2 linked regions of the Mus musculus genome follow. The protein of the gene in region 1 interacts with the protein of each later gene in a biochemical or structural test. Links are inferred from orthologs where the notes say so. Each region holds a gene or a part of one and is shown in the gene's direction. Other genes may lie near its edges.

Region 1 (3,605 bases):
TTTCACTGTCAGGGTGTCTGGCTGGAATGAGGTGAGCCGTAGTGAGGCCCAACTCAACATCACCGTAAAGCAGCGTGTGCGGGGCCTCACCATCAATGCCAGCCGCACAGTGGTGCCCCTGAATGGCAGTGTGAGCTTTAGTACCTTGTTGGAGGTAGGGAGTGATGTGCATTACTCCTGGGTGCTCTGTGACAGATGCACACCCATTCCAGGCGGACCCACTATTTCCTACACCTTCCGCTCTGTGGGCACCTTCAATATTATTGTCACAGCTGAGAATGAGGTGGGTTCTGCCCAGGACAGCATCTTCATCTATGTTCTCCAGTTCATTGAGGGGCTGCAGGTGGCAGGGGGTGATAACGGCTGCTGCTTCCCTACCAACTACACACTGCAGCTGCAAGCTGCAGTTAGGGATGGCACCAACATCTCTTATAGCTGGACAGCGCAGCAGGAGGGCAGCCTCATCACACTCTTCGGCAGTGGCAAGTGCTTTTCTCTCACTTCACTCAAAGCTAGCACCTACTATGTCCATCTTAGGGCCACTAACATGTTGGGTAGTGCCGCAGCCAACCGTACTATAGACTTTGTGGAACCTGTGGAGAGTCTAATCCTATCTGCATCCCCTAATCCAGCTGCTGTCAACATGAGTCTCACCCTTTGTGCTGAATTGGCTGGTGGCAGTGGTGTTGTTTACACTTGGTACCTGGAGGAAGGACTGAGTTGGAAGACCTCCATGCCATCTACCACCCACACCTTTGCTGCACCTGGCCTGCACTTGGTCAGAGTCACAGCTGAGAACCAGTTGGGCTCAGTCAATGCCACAGTTGAAGTGGCCATACAGGTGCCTGTGGGTGGTCTGAGTATCAGAACCAGTGAGCCAGATAGCATCTTTGTGGCAGCTGGCTCCACTCTACCCTTCTGGGGTCAGCTGGCTGAAGGTACCAATGTGACTTGGTGCTGGACCTTGCCAGGTGGGAGTAAGGACAGCCAGTACATTGCTGTGCGCTTCTCCACGGCTGGCAGTTTCTCTCTGCAGCTCAATGCTTCCAATGCAGTCAGTTGGGTCTCAGCCATGTACAACCTCACAGTAGAGGAACCCATTGTGAACCTGATGCTGTGGGCCAGCAGCAAGGTGGTGGCGCCTGGGCAGCCAGTCCACTTTGAAATCCTGCTGGCAGCTGGCTCTGCTCTTACTTTCCGACTTCAGGTTGGTGGGTCTGTCCCTGAAGTGCTCCCTAGCCCCCACTTCTCCCACAGCTTCTTTCGGGTTGGAGACCATCTGGTGAATGTGCAGGCTGAGAACCACGTGAGTCATGCCCAGGCACAGGTTCGCATCCTAGTGCTGGAGGCTGTTGTTGGGCTGCAGGTACCCAACTGCTGTGAGCCAGGCATGGCCACAGGCACTGAGAAGAACTTCACAGCCCGGGTGCAGCGAGGTTCCCGAGTTGCCTATGCCTGGTATTTCTCCTTGCAAAAGGTTCAGGGTGACTCATTGGTTATTTTATCTGGCCGTGATGTCACCTACACACCTGTGGCTGCAGGGTTACTGGAGATCCATGTGCGTGCCTTTAATGAACTGGGTGGTGTGAACCTCACACTCATGGTGGAAGTCCAGGATATCATCCAGTATGTAACACTTCAGAGTGGCCGCTGCTTTACCAACCGCTCAGCCAGGTTTGAGGCTGCTACAAGCCCCAGTCCACGGCGTGTAACCTACCACTGGGACTTTGGGGATGGGACTCCGGTACAGAAAACAGAGGAATTCTGGGCTGATCACTACTACCTGCGTCCTGGGGACTACCATGTAGAGGTGAATGCTACAAACCTAGTGAGTTTTTTTGTGGCACAGGCCACAGTGACTGTCCAGGTGCTGGCCTGTAGGGAGCCTGAAGTGGAGGTAGCACTGCCTCTGCAGGTGCTGATGCGGCGTTCCCAGCGCAACTACCTGGAGGCCCATGTTGATCTACGCAACTGTGTCTCCTACCAGACTGAATATCGGTGGGAGATATATCGTACTGCCAGCTGCCAACGGCCAGGACGTATGGCTCAAATGGTACTGCCTGGTGTGGATGTGAGCCGACCCCAGCTGGTGGTGCCACGGCTGGCACTACCTGTGGGCCACTACTGCTTTGTGTTTGTGGTTTCATTTGGGGACACACCATTGGCACGGAGCATCCAGGCCAATGTGACAGTGGCTGCTGAGCGTCTGGTACCCATCATTGAAGGTGGCTCATACCGGGTATGGTCAGACACGCAGGACCTGGTGCTGGATGGGAGCAAGTCCTATGACCCTAATTTAGAGGATGGTGATCAGACACCGCTCAACTTCCATTGGGCCTGCGTGGCTTCAACACAGGTCAGCCATGGGGACTTAGAGTAACAGGTCCTCCCTGACTCTTCTATCTTGTGTTTCATGTCTATTAAGTGCCTAGCACTTGGGTTATTCCTGGGGTGGGTCTTAGGCCTAGCATAAAAAAGGTTTTCTAAGCCAGGCTCTGCCTTAAGGGTGGTTAACAATCTTGTGCCCCATTTCCTTATTTGCTGTCACAGAGTGAGACAGGTGGCTGCGTGCTAAACTTTGGGCCCCGTGGGAGCAGTGTGGTCACCATCCCCCTGGAACGCCTAGAAGCTGGTGTAGAATATACCTTCAACCTCATAGTGTGGAAAGCAGGTCGGAAGGAAGAAGCCACCAACCAGACAGTGAGTCACACCCCCACCCTCCAGTGTGTCCTCATGCAAGAGCAGTACCAGTTCCAACCTGGTGTTTTTCAGCCCCTGGGGCTCTGAGTTCTCTTGATAAATGATCAAACTCAGCATTGCTTCTATCTGAAAATCCAGGACACAGCAGATTAGTAGTGTGAAATTTGAGAGGACAGGTTAGCCTGGTGCCACCTGTATCATCCCAGCACTTTGAGAGTGGAGGCAGGAAGACTGGAAGTTCTAATCTCACCAACACAATGATAACCTGTGTCTGAAAACCAAAACAAAATCTTAAGTCATACAAGCACCCTGCTTTTCGAAAAATGAACTTTATGCTACCAGCATGAAAGGCAAGTAATGAGAAAGCAAGGCCCTTGCCTACCTAGGCAGCAGCACCTATCCACATAACATGGCCTTGCTTCTGGGGGCAGTGAGCCATTCTTGCTGTCATACTTCTTCCCTGGACCTTTCATAAGGATAAGGACCACTTCACCTGCAGGCTGATGAGGCCTGCCAGTGTGTGTGGAGGGGGGCTGGGCAGTCCTGATGCCTCGGAGTGGGACTGCCTTCCCCAGTATTAAGCCTTCTCAGGTAGGAAGAGGACACTCAGTAGGTCCTGCCTGACTGAGCTGTTCCAGGGCCCACTCAAGTCAGCCAGCATCTCTGGGACAGAGCTATATAAAAAACAACTGACCTTGACTTCCTGGATGCTTTGTTTCTATCAGTGGTGCCCATGGGCTCCTACTGCCAGGTCAGCAAGGCCCTGGGCTGATCCACTCACATGCCCTTCTGGATTTAGCTAGTTAGCTCACTTACTTCACTCCAGAGGCACAACCTGGAATTTGCTTCAAATGGGAGTGACCTGGTCCAGGAAGCTTTCCCAGCATACACAGAGTGTGGAGCCT
Region 2 (4,378 bases), on another chromosome or scaffold:
TGCACCTGAAGTTGGCAGCAGTACACGGTGGATGTCACCCAGGTGCTGGGTTTGTTTTTTGTTTTTTGTTTTTTGTTTTTTGTTTTTTGTTTTTTGTTTTTAATTTTTAATTTTTAATTTTAATTTTAATTTTAATTTTTAATTTTAAAAGTGTGTCTTTTATCTCCTTTTCTTCTCTCTTTGAGATTATAATATAATCATATCATTACTCCCTTCCTTTCCTTCTCTCCAAGTCCTCCCATGTAGCCCTCTTTGCTCTATTTCAAATTCATAGCCTTTTTGTTCATAGATCAATGATTGTTATATGCATTGGCTGAAGATGGCCTCGTCCACCAGCCGTGCAGCCCTACCTACGTTGTCCAGGAGACCTCCCTGTGACCTGGGACGTGAACTCTGCCCTCGCTGCAGACAGCAGCCGGAGGCTATTTTGTAGTGCAGAGATGACTCATATACAAACACATAAACATATGTATTCCTAATATAACCTGCTCAAACTATATAATGTTGCTTATATATGTTTCAGGGCTGACCATTTGGGCCACTGAATAAACAATTGTTATGTTCTTCCTTAGTGAAGACTTTCTTATATCTCTCAATATGATCCTTCCTTTGTTGTCTGTAGTTCTTCGTGGTATTGGCGTTGAGAGTCATGGAAGCTTACCACGAGGTTCCAGAAAACAGCTCGCATGACAGGGTTAGACTCCCTGTGAGGAAGCCACTGGGGGCCAATCATGAGGCTGGAATGATGAAGCCCAAGCTGTGGTAGCCACTGTAAGGTTTTGGAGATGCAGGACTGTCAGACGTCTGCCAGGGATAGTTGAAGGGATATAGTGGAGCTAGCTTAGGAGAGAAGGCTCCTGCTTTGTAGGCAGCAGACCGGGAGGAGTGGGGCTGCCAGTGCTACTAGAGCCAGGAATAGTCTCTCAAGAACTCCACAGATACTGGATATGAAGCTACAGTTTGCCCTGCTGGGTCTGGGTCTTCCTCTGGATCAAGCTTTTCTTGCTGTGGTCTATTTTTTCCTGTTAGAATGTGTGTCTCTGTGTTACTGTATGTTAGAAGTATTTAATTTGGTTTTAAAAAATTTTTAGTTGTTCACCTTTAAGAGATTGCCTTGTACTTCAGATTTTGAATAGTGTGGGATTGTTAAGCCCTATGGTACTTGGTACTAAGCAGAGATGAGCCAAGCATATTTCGTATTATGAAGCTGAAGTAAACTTTTCAAGAATGAAATGCCTTCATTTTTGTCAGTGACTACATTTAGAACAAAGGAACTATTCCTCTAGTTATGTCTATGAGGGCATTTCCAGAAAGCTGAACTGAGGAGAGAAGACTTGTCCTGAATGTGGGTGGTACCATCTTATTGTCTGAGCAGAACACCAGCATTAACTTCTTTCTGCTTTGTTGACCAAAAATGCTATGTGGCCAGCTGCCCCCAGCATCTGTTGCCATGCCAACCCCATTGTGATGGACTAGACTCTCAACTTATAAACCAAAAGGAACCTTTTCTGCCTTAAGCTGCTGCTTACCATGGATCTTGTTGCAGCAATAAGGAAAGTGAGTATTGAATTGTTACTACTTGTGGTTCCTTCCTATGGGAAGAACACACGTCTTTCTCTAAGCTACTCCCCAGAGATAAGCATGGTAAAGTGACCTGATATATGGGACTTTGAAAGGCAAGCTTTTCTAGTGAGAGCATCTATCCAGAGATACTTCAGAGCAGCTGTGCTCATGAGTCCAGGAAGCAAGACATCATGGAATAGACTGGTGCTTCAGCTGTTAAAGGCCAGTTTCCTGGGGAGGAAGAAACCTTTCAGAGGAGGAAGGGTGTCTGCAATTGTGCATATCAAAGAAAGGAAGTACAGATTTTATGATAACTGCTTGTCTATTGATATTACTTGCTCATTATCCTGATATTTGCAAACCTTGCATTATATATATATATTTGTAAATATATATATATTTACAAAGAGAAAGATTTATAAAGAAATATTAGGAAGGCAAGGTTAGTAAAATTTATCACCTGACTGTTTTGAGTATTGACTTCAGAGAAATGATGTTCTGATAAGTCCACGCTCCATGTTCTGTGCTCTGTTCTTTCATTGCCTTGTTCCTTGAGCCCTCATTTGGAGCTTCCTGGAAGTCGGTATAAATTTAAGCTGAAGTGATTGGTATTTTACCTGTTAAAAGAGTTTTGCCAGTCATGAGTAATATAAAAGCTTTTTATTGCTATTTTTCAATTTAGATGAAATAATATTTTATATTTTAAATATAAATCAGTAATAACAGAAATTAAGTCACTGGGAACTTTGAAAATATTTTGCAATCATATGCAAATATAAATAAAGAACTAGAACTCATGATATGTAAACTCCAGACACTAATATTTCTTCATAAAATATAAGAAAAATTATAGTGTGTGAAATGATGTGTACTAAAAATCTTAATAATCACAGCTATTGCAAAACAACTTTGTATTAATAATCACTGTGAAACAGAGGGATCTTTTTATTAGAATTTTCTCTAAATTGTTTTATGAAATGAACATACTGTGTCTTCCAGTCTCCAAAGAACAGCAGAGGGAACATCCCCATTTGTAGACAGTTATGGTTCTCTTTGGGGAAGGAAACTATGCTCAGTGAGTTTAATGTCCGCAGATAAAAGTCTCAGGATCAAATAATGGAAGATTTAGATTGGGGACAGCAGGAAAGTGAAGGTCATAGCATAACATTAACCCATTCGGCGCCAAAGGGTTTTTGCAACACTGAGAGTTTGGAACTTGGCTCAGAAGATGGAAAGAGGAGAAACATTACTTTTTAAGAGCTTGAAACAAAATACAGACTTAATCCAAGCAGGCACAATGGGCATAGTTAGACTGGGTGGAGGATGGTGTGCTGTGGTAGAGGTCTGCATTAGAACAGAGCAGACTCTGTCCTAGCTCCTGAGTAACTGCAACGTGATTGTTATTTAAACCTGGATCTCATTTTCGTTTGTAAAACTGAGTTGAACTAATTGTACTTGCTAAAAATCAGGTGAATGAACTGCTGATGACCTATGATATTCTGTAACAAAATATGTCCTGTCTCACATCTGTGTCCCTCATACCCCTATCTCTCTACATATGTAGGCCAGAAGTCAACCTCAAATGTCACTCCTCAGCTGCCATCTACCTTGCTCTTGGAGGAAGTGTATACTGGCTTGGGGCTTGCTGACGGCAGTTCACTGGCTGGCCAGGTAGCCCCATGGATCTGCTTGTCACAGGAATGACATGTGTGTGCGGTCATGCCTGGCTGTGGGTTTTGCTTTCATGCCTCTGTAGAGGTGGGTGATTAACCAGGGGAGTATTAACCAGGTTTCATTTCTACCAAGTGAGTTTTCTCCCCAAGCCAAAGCACACTCTCTAAAAAGCATTTGGTTACAAAATCTTGCTAACACATTCTTCACTTTTAGGGAAATTGGCCTTTAGGAATGATAGAAGATACTTTAGGATGGTTCTCTGATTCATTATAAGTCTCTTTCCCTTGTCTTTCTCTGGTACAGAGGCTGGGAAAATAATGAATTGAAAATATTTGCTGGACTATGGATGTAGCTCAGAGGTTGAAAACTTACAAGGTACCAGGTTCAATTTTTAACACTATTGGAAATAATAAATACAATGCAACGTGTTCCTCTCCGTTTTCCTTGCAAATAAGGATCAGCCTTCTCTAGTGGCACCCCACCTTGGCCTTCAGTGAGACTGTGAGATCAGGCTTAAGCCTGTTCAGCATTTTGAGGAAACTATTGGCTTTCTGGATGCACGTGCTGCCTATCTTATGTGTCCTTAACGCCTAGGATTTTTTTGGTTTGTTTTGCTTTGTTTGTTTGTTTATTTTCTAGAAAGTAGATTTAATGGCTGGAGCAACAACCATTTTGCAAAAGGAAAAAGTTTTGCAAAAAGCATAAAACCTTGCTTTTGAGCCACCAAACCAATACCAAAGTCTTCAAACCTAAGATTAAATTAGAAAAAAAAATTAGTTTGTTAAGTCACTGGTTATTTACTGTTTTGTTTTGTTTTGGTTTTTTGAGGCAGGGTTTCTCTGTGTAGCCCTGGCTGTCCTGGAACTCACTCTGTAGACCAGGCTGGCCTCGAACTCAGAAATCTGCCTGCCTTTGCCTTTCAAGTGCTGGGATTAAAGGTGTGCACCACCACTACCCAGATGATTTTATTTACTTTTGTTTATAGCTTAATTAACACTAACTCTTAGAGGCACTGAAAATAGTGTTCCTTGAAAAGGCACTTCAAATTTAGTCATCTCACATTGATAAATGATCACCAAGTTCAAATTTAACATCAAAGAAAATTCAATATTATTGTCTTAGGGTTTTACTGCTGTGAAGA

What was found.
Region 2: the proteins of Pkd1 (region 1) and Hdac9 form a complex in vitro, tested with the Homo sapiens proteins (2 studies listed by BioGRID, with this or other methods). The link is inferred for Mus musculus from reciprocal best matches to the Homo sapiens genes PKD1 and HDAC9.

What each region holds. Positions count from the first base shown.
Region 1 is NC_000083.6:24,573,888-24,577,492, forward strand, and holds part of Pkd1 (polycystin-1 precursor), read left to right. Parts: coding exon 1-2,356; intron 2,357-2,550; coding exon 2,551-2,700; intron 2,701-3,605. UniProt on the Homo sapiens protein: Component of a heteromeric calcium-permeable ion channel formed by PKD1 and PKD2 that is activated by interaction between PKD1 and a Wnt family member, such as WNT3A and WNT9B. Both PKD1 and PKD2 are required for channel activity.
Region 2 is NC_000078.6:34,914,233-34,918,610, reverse strand, and holds the start of Hdac9 (histone deacetylase 9), read left to right. Parts: upstream 1-1,515; 5' UTR 1,516-1,557; intron 1,558-3,540; 5' UTR 3,541-3,612; intron 3,613-4,378. UniProt on the Homo sapiens protein: Responsible for the deacetylation of lysine residues on the N-terminal part of the core histones (H2A, H2B, H3 and H4).